Linked DNA regions of Stegostoma tigrinum. The protein of the gene in region 1 interacts with the protein of each later gene in a pairwise test. Links are inferred from orthologs where the notes say so. Each region holds a gene or a part of one and is shown in the gene's direction. Other genes may lie near its edges.

Evidence for each region. The genes of interacting proteins can lie anywhere in the genome.
Region 2: the proteins of gopc (region 1) and dpyda.1 interact in a two-hybrid assay, tested with the Homo sapiens proteins (2 studies listed by BioGRID and IntAct). The link is inferred for Stegostoma tigrinum from reciprocal best matches to the Homo sapiens genes GOPC and DPYD.
Region 3: the proteins of gopc (region 1) and rhoq interact in a two-hybrid assay, tested with the Homo sapiens proteins (2 studies listed by BioGRID). The link is inferred for Stegostoma tigrinum from reciprocal best matches to the Homo sapiens genes GOPC and RHOQ.

The regions. Positions count from the first base shown.
Region 1 is NC_081357.1:61,385,883-61,393,487, reverse strand, and holds the start of gopc (Golgi-associated PDZ and coiled-coil motif-containing protein), read left to right. Parts: upstream 1-4,504; 5' UTR 4,505-4,506; coding exon 4,507-4,998; intron 4,999-7,605.
Region 2 is NC_081361.1:81,750,432-81,757,412, forward strand, and holds the start of dpyda.1 (dihydropyrimidine dehydrogenase a, tandem duplicate 1), read left to right. Parts: upstream 1-3,895; 5' UTR 3,896-4,122; intron 4,123-4,468; exon of another isoform or gene 4,469-4,574; intron 4,575-4,582; exon of another isoform or gene 4,583-4,698; intron 4,699-5,009; exon of another isoform or gene 5,010-5,334; intron 5,335-6,418; 5' UTR 6,419-6,449; coding exon 6,450-6,548; intron 6,549-6,981.
Region 3 is NC_081362.1:68,547,848-68,555,283, reverse strand, and holds the start of rhoq (rho-related GTP-binding protein RhoQ), read left to right. Parts: upstream 1-4,350; 5' UTR 4,351-4,884; coding exon 4,885-5,029; intron 5,030-5,324; coding exon 5,325-5,383; intron 5,384-7,436. UniProt on the Homo sapiens protein: Plasma membrane-associated small GTPase which cycles between an active GTP-bound and an inactive GDP-bound state. In active state binds to a variety of effector proteins to regulate cellular responses. Involved in epithelial cell polarization processes.

The DNA.
Region 1 (7,605 bases):
AATTTTGCGCAAAACAACACATAATCCATGAACAGGACAATGAAAGTAGAATGATTGTTAGTAACACCATTGTTTACTCTCACCAAGGCCAGATTGCTGAAAAAAATTTCTATACCAGAGAAAGCAACATCTAGATATGTGAAGCCATTGAATTATTTCAGTTAAAAAAGTATTTACATTGCTATTAATTATTTTCCTTAAAAATAGTGTCTTACAATCCCAGATATATTTCTACTTTAAAACTAAATATTTCAATATATTTTATTCATTCATTCACAGGATGAGGACATTGCTGCCTAGGCCAGCATTTATTGACTATCCATAATCCCCCATGGAGTTACATTGACCAGGCCAGGTAAGAATGTCAGTTTTCCTCCCTAAGTGAACCACGTAGGTTTTTCTGACAATCAACGATGGATTCTTGGTTTAAGTGCAGTTAAAAGTTAAATCTCCAACAATTCTGCAGGAATATACATTGACCTATCTCCCTAACATTTTGCACGTGAGTTTGCACTGATACTCTCTGTAAATATGGCAAATTTGAATTGGGATCATCAATTACACCCAATATATTCTTGGACTTAACGAAACAAAACCATTCGGGAACAACAAATCTGAATTAAATCAATAACCTACAAAACAGGCATCAGCTCAGTGTGTGGGAAATGTCTTACAGAACATATCAATCGAAGTTCAAAGCCAATATTTGTTAACCACTATAGATCTGGACTCTATATCAAGGAATGGTTTTGTAGGATGATTAAAACTATCTTGCAGGAGGTCATTTGACCCCTGATTCTTGTATCTTATGTAAACTCAGTCTTCCCAGACTGTGTTCTGTACCCACTTTTCAACACTGATTCATTATCTTTTTCCATGACATTCGGAGCTGTCCATCAGTAGCCATTTGGCGAAGCACCTCATAGCTTAATGGCCTTCTGTTCAAAATTTTTCTTCCCTAGATATGAAATGTGACATTTAAATAAAGATCCATCGCTGACACAAGTCAGACTGTCAAATTTTCAGAGTTCCCTAGATAATGGGGTGTCCCTCTGGATTGGAAAATTTCACATGTCACTCTGCTGCTTAAGAACGACAAACGAGGAAACCAGGAATTGCACATCAGTTAGCCTAACATCTGTGGTGGCGAAATTGCTGGAGTCTGCAATTATGGATAAGGTGATTGAACACCTCAAACTTTTTAATTAATCAAGGAGAGTCCACATGAAGTCATGACAGGTAGTCATATCTAACAAACCTTACTGAAATTTTTAAGGTAATGAAGAAGATGACTTGGGGGTTCAGGTGCATTGATCTTTAAAAAGCCAGAGACAGATGGAGAAAATGATCAGAAAGGTTAATAGAATGCTGGCCTTTAATATTTAGAGGACTAAGAGTATAAGGAGGCAGACATTCTGCTGCGGCTACATAAAACTCTGCCCAATAGTATCAATGTGGATTTCACCAGCTTCAAAATCTCCCCTCCCCCCACTGCATCCCAAAACCAGCCCAGCTGGTCGCAGCCTGCCTAACCTGTTCTTCCTCTCACCTATCCCCTCCTCCCACCTCAATTTCCTACCTACTAACCTCATCCTGCCCCCTTGACCTATCCGTCCTCCCTGGACTGACCTATCACCTCCCTACCTCCCCACCCGTACTCTCCTCTCCACCTATCTTCTGCTCTATCCATCTCCAGTCCGCCTCCCCCTCTCTCCCTAGTTATTTCAGAGTCCTCTCCCCATCCCCCTTTTCTGATGAAGAGTCTAGGCCCGAAACGTCAACTTTTGTGCTCCTAGGATGCTGCTTGGCCTGCTGTGTTCATCCAGCTCCACACTTTGTTAGATAACCAAGTGTGAAGCTGGATGAACACAGCAGGCCAAGCAGCATCTCCGGAGCACAAAAGCTGATGTTTCGGGCCTAGACCCTTCATCAGTGTCTCCGATGAAGGGTCTAGGCCCGAAACGTCAGCTTTTGTGCTCCTGAGATGCTGCTTGGCCTGCTGTGTTCATCCAGCTTCACACTTGGTTATCTTGGATTCTCCAGCATCTGCAGTTCCCCTCATGCCTCCACATTTTGTTAGCTGGTTAGACCCCAGTTGGAATATTGTCGATATATCTATGCGACCTACCTTAGAGAAAGGATTTATTATTAGCCTTGGAGGGAGTAAAACATGAATGACTACTTGACTTCAAGGGCTAAATTACTATGCAGGTTAGGCCTGTTTTCTCTAGAATTTAGAAAATTAATGGGTGATCTGATTATCATTTTCAAGATATTAACAGGAAACGACAGTGTAGATAAAGATAATCTGTTTCCATTGGTTGGGGATTCTAGAACTGGGGGATATAGTCTAAAAGTTAGGGCCAGACCATTCAAAAAAGTATTAGGAAGCATATACAAGGGTGGTAGATAGCGAGTTTTGAGAAGATTTGTAGCTCAGGTTGAGGTTCTGGATGTGATCACCAACCCAAGGAAACCTAAACAGATAAATAGAAAGCGGGACATAACGCCAGCGCTTCACCGGAGGCTCACTGATGATGTTACCTAGAATGGTGACGAAACATCTGAAAACAAACCTTCCAGCTCAGCGAGCAAACTTACATCCAGAAGGGTGGAAGATGTTTGGAATGCTCTTTCAAACAAGGCAGTTGATGCTAGATCCATTGTTTCTTTTAAAGTTGAGGGTTCTTTTGTTAAACAAAGCCAGCTATAATACCAAAGGCAGGTCTATGGGGTTAGGCCATAAATCAGCCCTGATTTCATTGAATGGTGAGACAGGCTTGAGGGGCTGAATAGACTACTCCTGTTCCTTTAAACTGCTCTTCTCTGAATGACTGGACATTATTAAGCCAGGTCTTGTGAACATTTTCTGCTGTTGTGAAATTAGCAAACTGCTTAACAAATACCCACCACTGGATAAGCAGAAAATTTCTCCAAATAAATATTGCAAAGATTGAAAAATTCAATCTATACTCCAATCTGATCCCTAGCTGCCAATGCCATCCTTCTCCCTGGCATCTGTATGACACTAAACTAGACTGTTCCCAATATTGGTGTTATATATGACCCCGAGGGGAGCTTCTGGCCACATATTCACAGTATCATTAATGCATCCAATGTCAACCTCTGTAACATCATACAATTCTGACACTGTTTCATTTGTTGTGCTTTTGAAACTCATCCAAGTCATTGTTCCCTCCAAATTTGACTATGCCAGAGTTCTCCTTGTTCTGCTCTCAAAGAGTGTTCTACCCTTTGTGAACCTGAACTTATCCAACACTGCACTGCCCATGTACTCATCAACATCAAAGCCCATTCATGTCCTCTTTTCACCCTATATTCTTCATCTCCTCCAGTCCCACAACCCTCTGATCTGATTTGATTGATTTATTGTCAAGTGTAGCTAAGTACAGTGAAAAGCATTGTTTATGAGCAGTACAGGCAGATCATAGTAAGCAAGGACATACAGATTGTAGGGAGAAAAACAAAACTAGACAGATTCATACAAGTTGCATTGCACAGGGTGTGTGCTAGGGTCAAGATCAACATTAGCAAAGCAGCATTATTTGAAGTTAGAGAGTCCATTCATCAGTCTAATAATGGCAGGGAAGAAGCTGTTCTTGAACTTGCTGGTGTGTGTACAAGCTACTGTATCTTCTGCCTGAAGGAGGAGCTTATAAGAGACCTTGTGAACATGTCAAATTTCCTGACTGGCTGAGGAAGGAGAGGCTTTACTGTGCCTCCCTGACTGTTGCATTTATGTGGGATATCTAGGACAGGTTGTCGGTTATTGTCACTCCTAGAAACTTGACAGCCTCATCCTCTCAACCTCAGCTCTGCTGATGGAGATGGGGGCGTGTTCTTCATCCTTCTTTCTGAAATCAATGATCAGTTCTTTAGTTTTGCTGAAGTTGAGTGAGAGGTTGTTTTCAATGCACCAAATCACCAAGCCCTCTATCTCCTTTCTGTACTCTGACTTGTCCTCTGATCACCTGACTTCTTCCAATTCAGATTCCCAGACATTAAACACTCCACCACCAGTGGCTGCACTAGCAATTTAGTCCCAATTTCTGAAAATATTCCATAAAATTCTCTGCCTTCCCACCTCATTTCTCTTCTTCGAAATGCGCCTTGGAAGCGACTTCTGGCCAATGTTTTCGTTCAAAATAAGAAATTGAAGAAGAAACTCAGTAATAGATCAGATGTCGCTTTCTCTCCACAGATGCTGCCAGCCCTGGTGAGTTTCTTCAGCAATTTCTGCTTTGGTTTCAGATCTTGTGCATCCGCAGTGTTCTGTTGCACTTCTAAGTTTTGGTTCAAAAGCTCCTGGACGGGGCGCTTCGTCATATTTTACACTGTACAACAGGAAGAGGCGAGTTGTGTTCAAGGCGCCATATAAATTCAAGTTGTTGCTGTTGCGGGGCGGCGGGGGTGTGTGTGAGTGGGTGCGCGTGCGGGCCGTGGGCGGGGTTTCTGCCGCGCGTTCTGGCTCTGCCCCCTTTCTCCATGGTGACGGTTCGAACGACCGTTCCTCGCTCCACTCGCTCGGCCTTCTACTGTTGTGGCAGGCGCGAGCAATCGAGAGTGGGCTCCTTGACAACCGGAACCGGAGGCGGCGCCGCGGTCCACGGAGGAGGAGGAGGAGGAAGAAGAGGAAGAAAGAGACGAAACTCCGGGCACACGGTACAGGGCTGCGGGTCGGAGTCCCCAACCGCCATCTGCTCCCTTCTCTCCCGTCCTGCAGCGTCAACTATGGCCTCCTCGGCCGGGGCTCCGCCGGCAGCGGCAGCCGGCCCTTCCATGTTCCGCTGGCTGGAGGTGCTGGAGAAGGAGTTTGACAAGGCCTTCGTGGATGTGGACCTGCTCCTGGGGGAGATCGACCCCGACCAGTCCGAGATCACCTACGAGGGCCGCCAGAAGATGACGGCGCTCAGCTCCTGCTTCGCGCAGCTTTGTCACAAGGCGCAGACTGTCTTCCAGATCAACCATAAACTGGAGGTGAGCCCAGGGGTTGAATGTTTGCTGTGGGAATAGAGAACCCCGCCCACCCCGTCTCCCTTACTGAGGATCTGCAGATTAGTGTGAATATCTCAATAGCCCCCGTCCACCACATTGGATCAGCCCCATACTGTGAGTCAGTACACTAGTATCAATACTGTATCTCAATATAATCTTGTCCATTAGGTCAGCCTCTGAGGATCAATATAGTGATGTTACTATGGCAATTGAGACCCCCTTGCATTGTCCATCCATCTCCTTCGTGTCAGTTTCTATAGAGATCTCTCATTGCATCAGACCTTTGCTGCGGGCCCATAAGTCACTGTTAATATCTTAATAGAAATCCCTCATTAGATTATCCTTTTACTGAATATTGCACCACAGAGAAAAAATAAACTCCTGAATTAAGGGTCTAATGATGACCATGAAACCATTGGCAGTCATCAGAAAAATTCATCTGGTTCACTAAAGTCTTTTTGGCTGTAAATGCTGGCTTAGTCAAAGATGACTACATCCTGTCAGTGAATTTAAAATAAAAGACCTTCTCTCCAAATTGGATCACTCCACTCTCTGAGGGTCAATATGCTAATTAAATAGCTCACTAGAGATCACGTTGAATTCTGCTCTTGCTGAGGATCAATGCAGTAACTATTATTAGTATCTCAATAAAGAATTGGATTAGCCCGTATATGATAAACCTTTAATATACTGGGGATCAGTATATTACTGATCATATCTCAACAGAGATCCACCTCCATGGTATCAATCTTATACTGATGTCAAAACAGTAACATTAATATCTCAATAGAAATACCTGTTTAGATCAATCCCTTTCTGATACTGACTATATTAATATCAATGTATAGAACTGAATAGCAAAATTTCTTATAGTTGTCTAAAAAGGAAAATAACGTTTAACCAACTTATTACAAGTTTTCGAAAAAGTAGCGTAAGTGTTATTGTGGTAGTTTCCCTATCTGTGAGCCAGGAGGCCTGGGTCATGTCCTGTCTGCTGTAGGGGAGTTTCATAACATTTCTGAACAGATTGGTTCTAAAATCAAAAGAAAGAGTAATATGCACACTGGTTAAGGAGCAGACCATTGATTGACGATAATGTGGTGGCCAAGTGGTATAGTTACTGAACTAGGAATCCAGATAATGTTCTGGGTAACAAGATTCAAATCCCACCGTGGCAGCTAGTGAAATTTTAATGCAAAATAATCATCTAATGATCATAAGACCATTGTTGGTGTGCAAAAACCTAACATGTTAACAAACATCTTTTAGTTAAGAATATTGCCATAGTTCACCTGGTCTGGCATACATGTGATTGACTGTTAACTGCCATCTGATGGCCCCGCAAGCCGTTCTGTTGTACCAACTGCTAGAAGCTCTCAATAAAGGAATGAAACTGGAAAGATCACCGGGCATGAACCCAGACACTGGAAATGACAATGGGCAAATTCAGCTCTGCCAACCCTACAAAGTCCTTTTTGCTAACTTCTGGGGATTAGTGGGAAAATTGGCAAAGTTGTCTCTTGAATTAGTCAAGCAACAGCCTCTCAACGGCATTGTGGATCTGCTAATAGCACATGGGCTGCAGCAGTTCGAGAAGGCAGCTCACACCCATCTTCTCAAGAGCAACTAGGAATAGGCAATTCAGGCAACAACACCCATGTCCCAAATGGTAATATTTAGTTATTTTTAATTAACAAATTCCAAAGATTTAACTTGTCCAGCCATATAAATACAGTGGCTCCTGGGTGTAGGTCAGAGGCCTGAAATTCTGTGGTAATTTCCTCATCACCTGACTCCCACATTCTGTCCCGACATTTGCCGTGCACAAAGTGGGAGTATATTGAAATGCAGCCCACTTTCCTGGATGAGTGCAGCGCCAATAACACTCAAGATCTTCAGCAACATCCAGCTCAGTGAAAACTGCTTAATCAGCACTCTATCCACAATGTTAAATATTCACACCCTCCACCAGTCGTGGGCAGTGATAACAGTATGTACTAGCTACAAAATAAGCTAAAGCAACTTCTTCAGTACTTTACAAAACCTCAGCGTCTACAACCTAGAAAGTAGCAGTGCATGGAAACACCATCCTGACTTCAAATTATATTTATTCCAGTTCCCTCTCCCCATCCCCCTCTCTGATGAAAGGTCTAGGCCCGAAACGTCAGCTTTTGTGCTCCTGAGATGCTGCTTGGCCTGCTGTGTTCATCCAGCCTCACATTTTATTATCTTCAAATTATATGTGTTTGACTGTTGCTGGGTCAAATTCCATTCTCTAACACAGCTGGTAGGTACCTACATCAAATATACTGCAACTGTTCAGGAATACAATTGTGAGCAGTTATGGGTAAGCAATAAATGATGGCCTTACCAGCATCACTTATTAATGATTCTTTTTGCTACAGCGATGTATTGTTTAAAAACTTCAGTAATTTATCATCAGATGCGGTTTGAGCTGCAATTTGTGGAAAATACTGAGTAGTTCTAACCATTTTGTTATAGGTTCCAGTACAGAAAAGAAACAACTCAATCAATTTTAAAAGTATAAAGGTGGTTCTCCAACACCTGAAAAACTAGATGCTTTTCTTC
Region 2 (6,981 bases), on another chromosome or scaffold:
GTCCGAAGTTTAATCGCAGTAGGTCTTTGTATTTTAGTTGGTAATGAGTCCCTGACAATGTAGATATAGTTGCGTTTTATATTTTTGATTTCCTTTGTAAATATTCATTACACAAATGATCTATTTTACACATGGAAAGTTGTAACTCCCCAACTAAGCAATATTTTACGATTAAAGAATTTCTTTGCTAACTACAATCATCTTTTCTGTATTTATTTTAAACATAAATTTACCCGTTTATCTTGTAGATTATGTTTGCACTTATTTCATATTGTTTGATCCATGTAACATAAAGCACGAAATCACCTCGCTACATTTAGACCAATGAAATGAATGTGTAATGCTTTCATTTTTTTCCACTCGGCTTCGGAATTTGGGAGGAAGTGGATCTGTCTGAAGTCCTTGTAAGGTGGAGATCTATTTGTGTTTGGCTTCGTGTCTGGGCAGTAGGGGGCGCCCACGATCCGTGTGACGAGGACTCCCCGGTCTGGCTGCTTCATAACTTTATCCTTAAATAACACTGCTGCAAATTAGCAAAGAAAGTGCAAGCTGCAACATGAGGGCCTATAATTGACTGCTTTTTAAAAACATATAAGATGTTAGTGTAAGAGGTACAACCCGCCTTACATGTATTGCGTTTAGTTTATGTTAATAATTGTTATTACATCTCGCACTGACAGTGAATGTTTATAGTTAGTCTGCCAGTTTGTTTTTCTAAACATGTAATAAACGCACTTAACAATTCTAAGGTAATATGTATAATACATATGCTAGTAAATACGAACACTGTTTACATTTGGCAATATCTACAATAAAATATTTAACCCGAATTTTGTTTGATTCAACTGATTCATCACGGTACATATATGCAGATACAGCTAAGTGCTCGTGTTTGTTTGATAATTCTGTACACTCTACAGTTACCTACAAATAACTTTGTTCGTCCACTTCTCTAATGTAGCTGTTTTATCTATTCACACTTAAAAAGGTGGTAAAACCAAAAGTGTGCGAGAAGCGTAGATAGAGTGAACAATTTATACACTAGCTAATATTTTGATGATCTGATTGTTCACTCTCAATAGTTTACATGTTGTCCCCAAAGGCTCATACAGATTGTTGCTGTGTTAATGCTAATTGCAATGGACCTGAACAAACCAGTCCATCTTTAACATGTTATCGATCAAGATTGTTCCTTAGATCGAAGGTAATGACCGATTACTAAAGGAACCATGACGCCAACTTGATTGGAGCGGAAACGTTTTGGGAAACAATGTTGCATGTCCTTTATAAAATATAAATGAGACAGTACCACCAATAAAGTCCACTCAAAGCTCAGATGACCAAAGCCACTCCCTATTGTCGGCTAAAATGGAAGGTGACACTAAGAGTGATGAACAAAATGACTTTGGTAGGCTGGATTCTATTGTATAAAATATATGACAAAATGACAATTTACTGAGACGCAATAAGTCCAATCCGTTTTAAACAAAAAAGGTCTTAATGTTTTACGAAGCTGCATATCGCTGTAATTCTCCGTAAAAAGAAAACAATTTGCATTTTGTGTTTTGCTTACATTTAATGTATACACGCGGATGAGCATCTGTAATAGGGTCTTTGTAATGGCTTAATCCAAGGAAGAAAATAATAAAGTTTGCAATACCTAACTGGTGACGAGAGGTTGTGGTGGGGGCTGGGGGGACGATGTTGGTGTGGGTCTGTTTTCCAAGCTAACCCACTTATAAGCATATGATCCCTCCCCTGCAGAATATGTAGTAAATTTGTGAGAGGCCGAGGTAAATATGCTGAAAGCAGCCTGTACATTTTTGGGCTGGAGTTTTCAGAGTTCCCATCTAAAATCAATCAGGCGAAAAACAATAGAGTAGTAGAGCGATACAAACCTGGCCTCCAGGTGGCAATAGTTCGACACGACTGGTGCCTCGCAAAACTAACGCGGCTCTGTTGCATATTGGCCCACATCTAATAAAGGGCTAGAGCAGGACAGCTTCTGCTCATATGTCGCCCAGTACATCTGAAGATCCGGAGTTCAACTGAACCACCAAGTGTACTGTTTACTACACTGTTAACGGCGGCAACACAGTAAAGACGCGGCGAACTTCCGCTCAGCCTCTGATTTGTTTGAATGGCAGCGTCGGCCGATCAGTCAGTCTCAGATCTGGGAAGCTTCGGTTGGATGTGAAGAACGGGGCATAGCAGCTGGCAGTGAGCAGAGTGCTCCTCTGGGGTTTCAGATGAAGTTGCAATGTCAGGGGGATTGTACACACACACACACACACACACACACACAGAGATTGTCATTGCTTACAGCTTTCCAGTGAATATTTAACAGACATGGATACAAAAGAGAGGAGGTGGTGTGGCGAGGCCACCCTTAACTACTGCAATTGATTGAAATTTGCGCTGCCCCTTTTCTAAACGAAGGCTCCTTACCCACCCCCAGTTATGTATACAATTTAAAGAACTCGCATCCAATCAGGCGGAATCAGCTCCATGTTAATTAGTAGTCTGTCTGGTTGATTTTAGGTGTCGTAAAACAGACACGAACAAATACTGCAGTATTCATGTGGATAGATTTTCAAACCACAGTGTTAATACCTGTTGGCACATGGCTGTAATAATTCTTTTGTGTAGAAATCGAACAATACAGGAAACGCCAATTTCTTTTTCCCCCTCTTTGCGGTCAGTTTGAAATTTTGCTCTGGAATTTGCAAGTGTCACCTCCACACTTCAGTAAATAAATAATGCATCCAGCATCGAGTCTGATGGCTTACAAAGCCAGTCAATTTAGACCTTTGGGCCAATATCTAAGGGTTATTGGCTAAATAAGTTCGCATGTGAAAATAACCGACTTGAATACATCCTTTGCCATATGGAACGCAGGACATACTGGCACATATTCGGTTTTGACAAATAAATGGAAAGACATCGCAAATGAGTAATGGGAGTTGAACTTCACCCTGTTATAAAGCTACAGCATAACTAACACGCGTATCCTTCTCCTTTCAGACGCGATGACAAGAACCAGAAATTCGAAATCTCAACTTACAAATCATTCCAGTACCTGGAACCAAAAGTGTAAGATCCTCGGCACCAGTCCACTACTACTCCCCTCTACCCACCCCGCCAAAAGAAACAAAAAGTAATCCCGTTTGCGGTACACCATTTAGGATGGAAGAGCTTCGGTTTAATACTGATCAGATAATCTACCTGGTGGTTTATTACAACTGTGACCGATTTCACATCCCAACACCGTAAAAAAAAACACATTATTCGCACCCAGTGTGAAAATGGCAGGTTTGAAATCTAAAATCGACGCAAATAAACAGCATATGGCGAGGTTTCAAAGCAATGCTAACTCTATAAGAGGACGTGGCTGGGTTCGAATTTTGATGAGAAAATCCCTTGGTTTTTTATTATTATTAAACTTCAGTCAACATATGTCAGCGTTCAATGCTGGCTGGTCCTGATCCTGAAACCATTCAGAGCTGCTGTTCACTGCGCTGTATATATATGAACAGTGTCCCAGAGGTATTCATCATCTCCTACTGGGAACTCATGAATAAGAGACTATGAAGTGGGGACGTCAGATCTCCTTCAAGTAATCGACCATTAGCATGTTTGGGATCCACGAAATTATGTTAAATGGTACCGAGATGTAATGATCTCTCTCTGGCAAATAAACCATTTCCAAATCTGGTTCCCAACGATTGTGTTTTTTTACTGTGGGGGGAGTGGTGTTGCGGAGTTACATTTATGCGTTGTGACAGGCGACAACTGGTCGTAATTGGAACACTTTGATTAGATTTCTCTCTCTCTCTCTCTGTCTGTAAAGATCTCAGCCGTCTTGTAGCCCCTGGAGCGGAGAGCCGTTACAAAACGCCTAATACAAAAAAAAAGCAAAACAGGGAACCACGTCGGAAAGAACCTACGACTCGAGGGTGGATGGGAGCTGCAGTCAAACCCCGCAACAGCCTCCCCCTCCCCTCCCCACTCCCCACTCCACAAATCCAGAATGCAACCTTCGTAACGGAGGTTGAGAAACACATCGGTAGCGCATGTCGACCCCGGAGGAGATTGAATTTGAGCCTTCAGTGGAAAAGAAAGGTAAGCCCGTGCCTTCAGAGAGAGAGAGAGAGAGAGACCCTTGGAGTGTTAATGGCAACACGGAGTTTCGTCCTCGCTTAGTTTTGTTTTGAATCCTCTGCTGGTTGACTGTGCAGTGATTCCCACCCCCTACCAGCCATGCATCCTCGCAATATCCAGCGCGTACATTAACCGGGCTGATATATATATATATATATATATATATAATGTGTGTGTAATACATATCTTTAAATTTCCTTTTAAAATCTAGTTTCTTTTTCTAAAAACAAAACTGGTTCAAATCACACAGTTTGGTTTACCCTGCAAAGGGACGTGTGAAATGACCAATGTGGGAATCACATCGCCCCGGATCTCTCTGGATCGTTGCGAAATAAGACGACTTTGACAATAGGCTGTTCAAAATGCACGACTATGTCGCGAGAATGAGTGAAAGGCGCCGACATTGTGCTGTGGTACGTTCATTTCGAGTGAAATGTGAATAAAAAAAACAAGCTGCTCGTGATGGCTAATCGCATTATTGAAGGGTAATTGCAGTGCTATTTTGACTAGATGCAACGTGGGAATCAATGAACAAAGGTATTTAGCAGATGATGTCTCTCGGCTGGTACTGCGGGATATTTCAAGGCTCCCAGGATATACAGCATGTTGCCCTGACTGCCTGCGCCCTGCACAGTCATTTTTTTTGGGAATACCATAGCCTGAAGGTGGGCGGTGGGGGTGGGGTGGGGTGTGAGGGTGGGGGGGGGTGGGGTATGAATATGCACCCAGAGGCAGTGGTCTCATAGGAAATGGTGCTAGTAAGTAGTTCGCCTTGTGCACTTTCGATTCACAAGAGCTTTTGTTGCGCTGTGGTTCGGTGTCGCTGCTGCCTGCGTCTGTTAGAGATGAGCTCTCCGTGGTGCTGAAAACGTTCCTCTCTCTCTCTCTCTCTCTCTCTCTCTCACTCTCTCTCTCTCACTCACTCTCGCTCGCTCGTTCTCTGTCTCGGTAGCATTTCTCTCCAGTTCGTCAGGCGCATCGTCTCGCCATTGTAATTTATATGGAAGCAATTAAGTATTTTTTTTAAAAAAAAGCTGGCACGCTGGGCAGGCGAGTATGCGAATACATGCGCATTCCATAGTCTGGATGTCGTATTAATACTAGCTGGGCTGGACTCTGCCGTTCTCCTGCTCATGGTTATCAAGCATAAGGCATTATTTTACAGATATTCTTGTGAGTATTAGGAAATTTACGCGAAATAAATTGATTTTTTTTCTGTATTGCACTGATGTATTTGCTATTGCAATTATGAAAGCCTCGTATGTCTACTGTGGTGGGTGCCGCCAAGGTAACAGTACGTTCTCACAGTTGAACGTCTGATTTTGGCATTTTTTTCCCCAAAACATCAATTTGGAGACTGCCAATGGCAGCAGCCTCGCAGAAAGAACTGGTTTTAGGTGAACATGCACCCGATTGTGTTCTGTAATCTCTGGCGAAATTCTGTCAGGAATTGAAATGGGGAATCGAAATGCTGTGAAAATAGTTACTTCATTCGGTGATGAAATTCGGTATTCAACACAAGCCACTCATTGTTGATTTTGTTCTTTTTTGTGCCAATCTCATCTGTCACGGAGATTTCAGGATGCTGGGCACAGTCAGTCAATAGGCATAAGATGGTATTACAATGTGATAAGGATTAAGTAACCATAAAAAAGAGGCTTTTGCCTGTCCTTTTTTATGGGTTCCACCCCTTTCATAAGCTGAAAAAAGGAGGAAATACCATGCTTGGGAGTGGTGATGCATTGAACAAAAAGATGTATTCTCAGTTACCCCATCACCCAACATCGACAGAGGAATCATAGTAGTAACGGTGCTCAGGGAAATATTGAATTTTTTCCTGTCTCTCTGCTTTCCCTTCATTGTAATTTAGTTAAGGATCTCTGTGTAGAGGCCTGTAAGGGTTTCTTTAGCTGATTCACTTGGAGATTCAGCCTGTTTCAGCCTGTCCATACCTATTGATGAGAACAACTGTCCTTATTGTTGCTCTTTCTTAAAATGACTTCTGAATCGTATATTTTTACACAGTTGATTAGTAAAGATTATCTTTAAATATTTCAAATCAATACTCCCATCACCTACCATTAATACTTTTAATACTTCTGTCACCCACCCACGCACAGTTGTTCCTCCCACTTCCAAATTATTTTCAAGGCAATGTATAATTAGATAAAGGGATTCACAACTAATGAATGAAATTATGTGTCCTTTGTTTTAACCTCCCACCAATCACCCCCACCCTCCCCTCCTGCTACCCCAGGAACCTAGCTGCTGGGCGTCTTTTCGACTCAATGTTCAGGGGAATATTTGCTTTTGAGAATGAAAAATCGAAATTCGAAGAATGCTACCAGCTACGCGTTATTCTGCAAATGCTACGCTGCATCACACAGGTGAGTTACTTAACTCAGTGCTTTTGAAGTCTACCCTTTTCAGATAGGCTGTAATTTCAAATGCCGTACATTTGGAGACAGATATCAAGTACACTAAATCGTCGCCAATTCTGGTCGTACTTCAAAATGCATTTTATTCATTTTCCCTTTGCAGAATGGCACTGATGAAAACTCGACTTGCTCTGTACTGAGGGAACGACTACTCAGATTCATTCTTTGGATGCCGTCTTTGTTGATAATGGGTGTGGATTTTTGGCATTGGCTAAATGTTGCTAGATTTATTCAGACTCTCTTCGGTGACGGGTATTCTTGGGTGTATAATACGGATTACGTTGTTATTGCTTAAGAATACGCGTAGTCGAGGAGAGTTAAGTCTTCGCACCTCAATGGACTAAAACCAAATGTACTTTTGCATAAAGGAATTGTGGGTTTC
Region 3 (7,436 bases), on another chromosome or scaffold:
TAGAATATTTGAGTCCATATCAGCGGCTCTATTCTTTGCTTGTATCACCAATCTGGTCAAACGGCAAAGAGTAGGGTGATATCCAGCATTTGCTTGAGAAGACCTTATCACTCCCTGAGCTGTATTGGAATCTTATAGGGGATCCAGACTCCAAGTTAGATCACCCACAGTGCTGGTGCTGGGAGGTAGCAACTGAAGCAACAAGGTTCATTGACCAAATGAATCTTAGAGACCTGACTGACCTGAACACTATTGTGGGTGATCTCACTCTCATGTGCAAAGCTAACATTCCACTGAATCTTAGCTTGAATGTCATTGGGAATCTGGGTCTGAACATTGTCCTTTGCTTGTGGCTTGGTGTCAGCCACTGCAACTTCAACTGGGCAGAGGGCGAGTTCCCTCCTGTAGTCAGCCTACAGGCTAAGGGCATCTGCATTTGCATTACTTTGCCTGACCTGTAGTCTGCCTTCAGACTAAGGGCATTACCACTTACATGACCTGTACAGAATCTTGAAGCAAAACCCAATGTATTCAGTGACCCAATGAAACTCCAAGCTTGGTGGATGATTGAAAGTAGCTGAGTGGATTGCTGTTGGCAAATGCTTCAAGCTCAGGATCCACCAAAATGTTTCTGAATGGCTGGGAAAAAGTCTACCTTAAAGCTTGCAGTTTGAGTTCATGCTGGAGTAACACTCCATATTGAGATTCCAACAAATATAAGTTACAGTCACTCTTTCTTGCCCTTGAATCTGTGACAACACCATTCCTGAGCCAAATAATCTTAAATCAGTTTCCATATGAAAGGGAGATTGAAATCTGGGAAGCTAAGGACTTCACCTGTTCTGGTCCAACTCCCTGCGATGCTCCACAAAGTATCCCACCTCGCACATCCTTTTCCAAACAGTCCTTCAGTATTCTTTCATTTTCTCAGCATATCATAGTGTGAGGCAGCCAACTGTGATTAGCCTTGCACAAGCCTCCTATAATATCCCATTAGACAAAGGAACCCCATAGAGTGCACTCCCAGTCGTAGGCTAGAGCACCTCTACAATCATCAATGATGCCTTCCTTGGTAATGAAGCGCCCAAGGGATCATTCTTTTGTCTGGAAAAGTTGACACTTGTCTAGTTTGATTTTTAAGTTAAAACTGTGCGAAGTGGGCTGTGATAAAGCCTGGTCTTACAAAACTAAACTCAAATATTGAATTAAAGATGAATCCTGTAGACACATGGGGAGGAATTGGAAATTAAGGCTGCTGAAAGCTTTAACTGTCACATGGATGAAGGTGGTAGCTGAAATTCAGAGCCCAAATGACATTTTTGAAGCCTTTGGTTTATATTAGGTCGTGGAATTATTTGATCTTTCGCACTTCTCCCTGTGCGTCCTATTTCCCCCAAAACATCCTTTTTCAAGAAATGGTCCGTTTGACTGCTCCAGCTGCCCTCCCTCACCATCATCACCTGCTGCCAGAGTCCTGGCACACTTGCTTGAGCTCCTGTCCTCAGTGCCCTCTCTCACCATCACCATTTGCTGCTGGAAGTTCTGTTACTATGTGAATACCATCACCTCCAGCTTCCCTGGCATTTTCCCTGACTTGATCACTTACTACTGTTCCCTACTTATGTGTGAATCAGATACCTAGAATTCTCTAAATAAAAACCGAAAGAATTGCGGATGATGTAAATCAGGAACAAAAACAAAGGTCTGCAGGTCTGGCAGCATCTGTGAAGTAAAAAACAGAGTTAATATTTTGGGTCCAGTGGTCCTCCCTCAGAAGGCTCTGGCAAAGGGTCACCGGTTGCAAAATGTTAACTCTGATTTTCTCTTCACAGATGCTGCCAGACCTGCTGAGCTTTTCCAGCAACTTTGTTTTTGTACCTAGAATTCTCTATCCAACATTATTGTGTGAGTACCATCATCAGAAGAACTGTAGTAGATCAAGGACTGGACCCACAAATACCATAATGGAATGGACAACAAATGTAGTTTTTCTAGTGCTGTTCACATCCCAACAACAAACAACTGAAAAGGACATTAACTTCTTATAAATCTCAGATATTTTATTTTTATTGTGCAATTTAATTCTCTCTAGTCTATTGTCTTGTTATTTATGATTCTGCCCTCGTTATTCTTCCCTTAACTGTAGCAATTGATATATAACACACAAGCAATTCTCTCTATATCCGATAAAGATATTTGTATTTCATGATTAAAAAACAATCTTATTTCTGACCTTTGCAATGAGCTTACAACTCCATACGTTGTGTTATTAGTTTCTTCTATTCAATTTGTAGCTTTCTGCTTGTGACCTCCATTCTCCCTGACTTCCACAGAGTGTAACCACTGACATAAATAGCAAGACTCACTTATAAAAATAATTGACAACGGTCCCTGATCTGAAGATTTCTGTTGACAGAAAACTTCAGTACCACCCCCAATCCTCAGCAGCAGTTCCTGGGCCTTTAAGGTTTTGCTGCAGTGCTGTAGAATCAAAGACTTCAGATGTCTGTGTCAACTGTGTGTTTTCTGGTTCATGGTGCCTGTACAGAATGTTGTCATTAGGTGGCTTGTTAAAAAGCAGTCATTTTCCAGCATGTTTTGAACAAAGCAAAGTCAGAGGAGACTTGAGCTTTTCAAGAAGTTTAATTTTCTCTCTCAAATATGATATACTATAGTTAATTCTCTGCAACATTGGGAAGTTGGTGTCAAAAATATGTGTGATTCAGATATGAGCCTTAGCGCAGTTGTGACTCAGCCTGTAGTTTATAAATAGTGGAAAAGAATAGTTAGAATGTGGAACCTGCTACCATATGGGATGGTTGAATTGAATAGCTTAGATGCCTTTAAAGGAAATTAGATAAGTTCTCGAGTGAGGGAGAAGTGGAAAGATAGGCAGATAAGGTCAGATGAAATAGACTGAGGAGGCACATATCAAACACAAACATGCCAACTAGAATGAAAAGCCTGCTGCAGCACTGTAAATTGGGTAACCTACAGGGAAAACTGGAGAATTCAATGAAAAATCCACCTTCAATGTAAATACAGTGGGAAAGGTAGGGACAGACAGGAAAAAAAAGCAATTTAAGGCAGGTCAGATTTACGAAAGGTAACTGAGTTTAGTGGGCAAGCATGGCGCAAGGCAAAATGGCAATTAGGAAGTTAATTTGAGGTGAAGCATCAGCTACTTGCATGAGTGGAAGATAAACATTTTGGCTTGTATTGGCATTATGGGGGACATTTTGTTCTTGAGTGTAGCACAGTTAAATAAGGTAGCACACCGTGCAACTAATGAATGGAAATTTCAATCATGCTCAGAAGTGTTTTATACAAATGGTGATCAACAATAAGATTAATCTCTGATAATAAAGTGTGAAGCTGGATGAACACAGCAGGCCAAACAGCATCTCAGGAGCACAAAAGCTGACGTTTCGGGCCTAGACCATTCATCAGAGCTCTCCGATGAAGAGTCTAGGCCCGAAACGTCAGCTTTTGTGCTCCTGAGATGCTGCTTGGCCTGCTGTGTTCATTCCAGCTTCACACTTTATTATCTTGGATTCTCCAGCATCTGCAGTTCCCATTATCTCTGATACAAGATTAATCTCTGATTTCGGCTGTGGAATGTCGGTAGCTGTGTTGTTCGGATCAATGGCCTCTCGATGACCTAGGAGAGACTGATTGTAGCTTCCTGCTCCCTGAATTAAACTGGGAGGCAGTGGGTGCCACAATCAGACTACGTGGCTCTCAGTTTGACGGGATGCTCATGAAGTGCAGGCCTGCGAAGTGAAGGGAAAATTGGAAGGAGAGCAGTCCTCCTGACCGCTTCCATGCCTTCCAATTTTAGGGTTGACATTAGGGTTTAGCAGGCGATTTACCGAGTGAATGAAGAATGGTGCTGACTATACGACACATAACACGCGTATACCCCAGTGGAAAACATCCTAAGGCGGAATTTCCTTGTTTGAAATGCATCCTGCAATTGCTGTGACGTTGTGTTAAAAGTAACATGATCACTTCACAACAACAGAAAAGGGGAGGGGGCGGTGAATGATATGAAAGATAGTTATATCTCTGGCGAGCCTTTTGTCTGCAGGAAGGTATCTTACAAGTGGGTGTTCTAGCTTTATAGGCAGTGTCGCTGTGACTCTTGTTTTAAATCTCAGCGCTGCTCGGAATGGATGAGGTCACTTTCTTGTCACATGATATCTGCAGCAGTGATACAATGACTCTCCCTCTCGGTTTGTGCTATGGGAAGCACTCGCCCTAGTACTCTCGACATTGGCTGGGGCCGGTCGATGAGGGCCGCCGGCTGGCCGAGCGAGCTGTCAATCAGCCGCTATCCCCACCCACCCGCCCCCTCGGCCAGGCGAAGTTCGGGGCTGCTTGTACAATGCAGCTGGAGTGTGGCTACTGGCCAGGAGAGGGGCTGGAAAGGAGACACACTTAACACATACATAGAAAGAGGAGCCAGGCACGCAGTGGGAAAAGTGACTGAAGGGGAAAGGCACAGAGTTTTTTTTAAAAAAAAGAATTGCCATTCACCTCCGCCTGCTGCATGGGGAAGGGAATCCAGATGTGGAAAAACTCTCGTGTTTGAACCTAACTGAGAGTGTGGGCAGCGAGGAATTTGTGCATGTTGTCAGAGAGCTCGTCCTCCTGACACATCCAGATCCGTCGGAGAGGAAAGTCGCCGCCAGTTTTCCTGTTAAAATTAAAAGCTTTTGTTTTTAGCTGTTTTGCTTTTTGTTCACGGGTTGGGCGGGGGGGAGGTGTGAGGTGTGGAATGCATTTGTTTGAGAAGCACAGAACAGGCTGAACATGTGGAAAATGGCACCTTTGCCATGCCCTGGTGGGAAGGTGTTGCTGAGGCAATGAAGCTGCCGCACCATGGCCAATGGAACAGGTCCGAGGAGTATGCTGAAGTGCGTGGTGATCGGAGATGGAGCGGTGGGCAAAACTTGTTTGCTGATGAGCTACGCGAACGATGCTTTTCCAGAGGAATATGTGCCCACTGTGTTCGACCATTACGCGGGTAACTATTTTCTTTAGAAATGTCTAGCTACATTTCTTGTAAAAAAAGGTGTAACTTTTAATTCGTCTTTTTTTTGTTTCCGAGTTCATCCCAGCTCTTAAAGCTTGAACGCGAACTTTTTGGGAAAGTTTCAATAAAGTTTCACTGTCTGGCCATAGTCTTTCAATCAGACGTCTGTCTTTTGGATGCATGTTCCATCCGCTATTAATTAGAAACATTCGCTACATTACTGTGCCAATTACTGTAGTATTTCCATATAACTAGTAATATATGTATCCTTTTCCTGTTTGACCAGTCACTGTCACCGTGGGAGGTAAACAGTATCTTCTTGGACTTTATGATACTGCAGGACAGGTGAGATTTTAAAAATAAAAACAAACGTTCTGTTCTTATCTATGTTGGATGATGTGTCTTTTAGTGTAGGGAAGTTTAGCAATCTCTAATAACTATCTTATGACAGAATGTGACACATGACTTATTTTCTTAGTCTGAGTGAAAATGTCTGTTTCTGTTTTATTTGAGCTGATTTCCCTGGGGAAGGTTTTTAAAGTTGGGATGGCTCTTTTATGTCAATGTCCCAAACACAGTTGGAAAGGAATGGCAAGCTCACAGCATTGGCCGACTCTACTGCCCAAACCACTGCACCATTCTCCCCCCCCCAACCCCCCCTAGCAATTTGTGGTGAGGAAGAAATAGACCATGAGTTGTGAATGACTGTTCACTTTGCAAAACTGAAACTCCCCATCAAACCGCCTTGTGTCAGTGTTGTGAAATTGCTGGATTTGTTCCATAGACACAAATTGAACTCCCCACAGCCAGTTATTGCTGCTATTTCACACCATAAGGATATTTTGTGAACAAGATGTGTGTTTCTGCAATTCAAATTCAAGTATTTAGGGTCAGAAAAGAGACAATCGAAAACTTGGGGAGTCTCACCCCCATAATTAGTAAATTGTTCTAAGAGTTTGTTGCTTTGAAATGTTCCTTCTTGCGTTTTCTTAATAAAATCTTACTAGTTTTCTCTCTGTGTAATTTAACTCATAATTTACCTTATTTCCTTCTCTATCCTTGGCTTTATTTATTTTTCTATTGATAAATTTCAGTGGATAAGGAGATAGACTATTGACCCCATCATTCACCGACTCTCCAGATGTCCCATTTGCACTTTCAGCTCTTTGGTGCTCAAGAATGTTTTGAGCTGAAGTTGAGGAAAAATACCCTTTTGATAATCAGGGTAGCTTTTATTTTCAAATTGTCGTTTGCCAAAGAAATGCCAAGAAAGTTGGATGATCATGATGGCAGCACATTAAGTCAGAAAGATATTAGGATTTTATAAATGTACATTTTTGGATTTGAGTTTCTTGTTAATTTGTGCAAATAAACCTTTTTGTTTTACTTTGTATGAGCCAGGTTATGCTATGGATAGGTATTAGTATTTGTCAGCTACTGAGTTCAAATTAATAGATAAATGCTTTGGGTAAAAAGGTAAGTTTTTATATGGGGGTGGGAGGAAGAATTGTAAATTTTGAAAATTGCACAAGGAATTTGTGCTGCATGGACACTTGCTGGAGATTAAATCATTCAATCAAATAAATGACCATGTGAGCTTTTATATAGTCAAAGAACTTTAAAAAAATCAGATATCTAATATTTTCCCTGGTATTGTTCAACCTGAGATCAATGACCAGTATGCTCCAGCTGTGTTTTTACTGTTTCCATATTTGCTGTGAATGTGGACAATTTTCCCCTTTTTATGTACAATTTCTTAAATTATCCAATATTTATTGGAAATGTTAGTGCTTCTAATCTATGTACATTCAAATTGAGACTTTTTAAAATGAAGAATACAGTCTGCAAAAATGTAACCTTAAAGTAAATGCAGCTGCCTGCTACCTGTAACATGTAATTGTTACAGTACAAACAGGCATAGTTATATTTTTAGCAGGTAATGCCAAGTTAGTTGTTCAGTTGCTCAAGAAATTGGTTCTATTAAACTTCTGATTATGCTCATTTTAATTGGCATAATTCTTCATTAATTCTCCTAAACATGGCCTTTTCAAATTTAAAACATTGCATTTTATTTGGGTGGAAAGTTTAATACTTCCTTGAGTTATCAGCAGTACTTGATTAGTATTGTAAAGAACATTTTTTCAAAACAAATAAATTTGAAGGTGGTAATAGTGAAGTCTGCAGCTCTAGACCCATCATGTTTTGGTCTTCATTTGTGACACATGGACTTGTGTTGGCTATTCTAGTGACTTTGGTCAGTTTATATGCTCAGAAACTGTGGGAGTCCGTGTATGACTTTACCCCTTGCAATCATTCATGAAGGAAGACTGGATCCACTTGTGATTCAAAGTTTGACAACCTGCACTTTAAAATACTACATTTTAAGCAGACTGCCTGA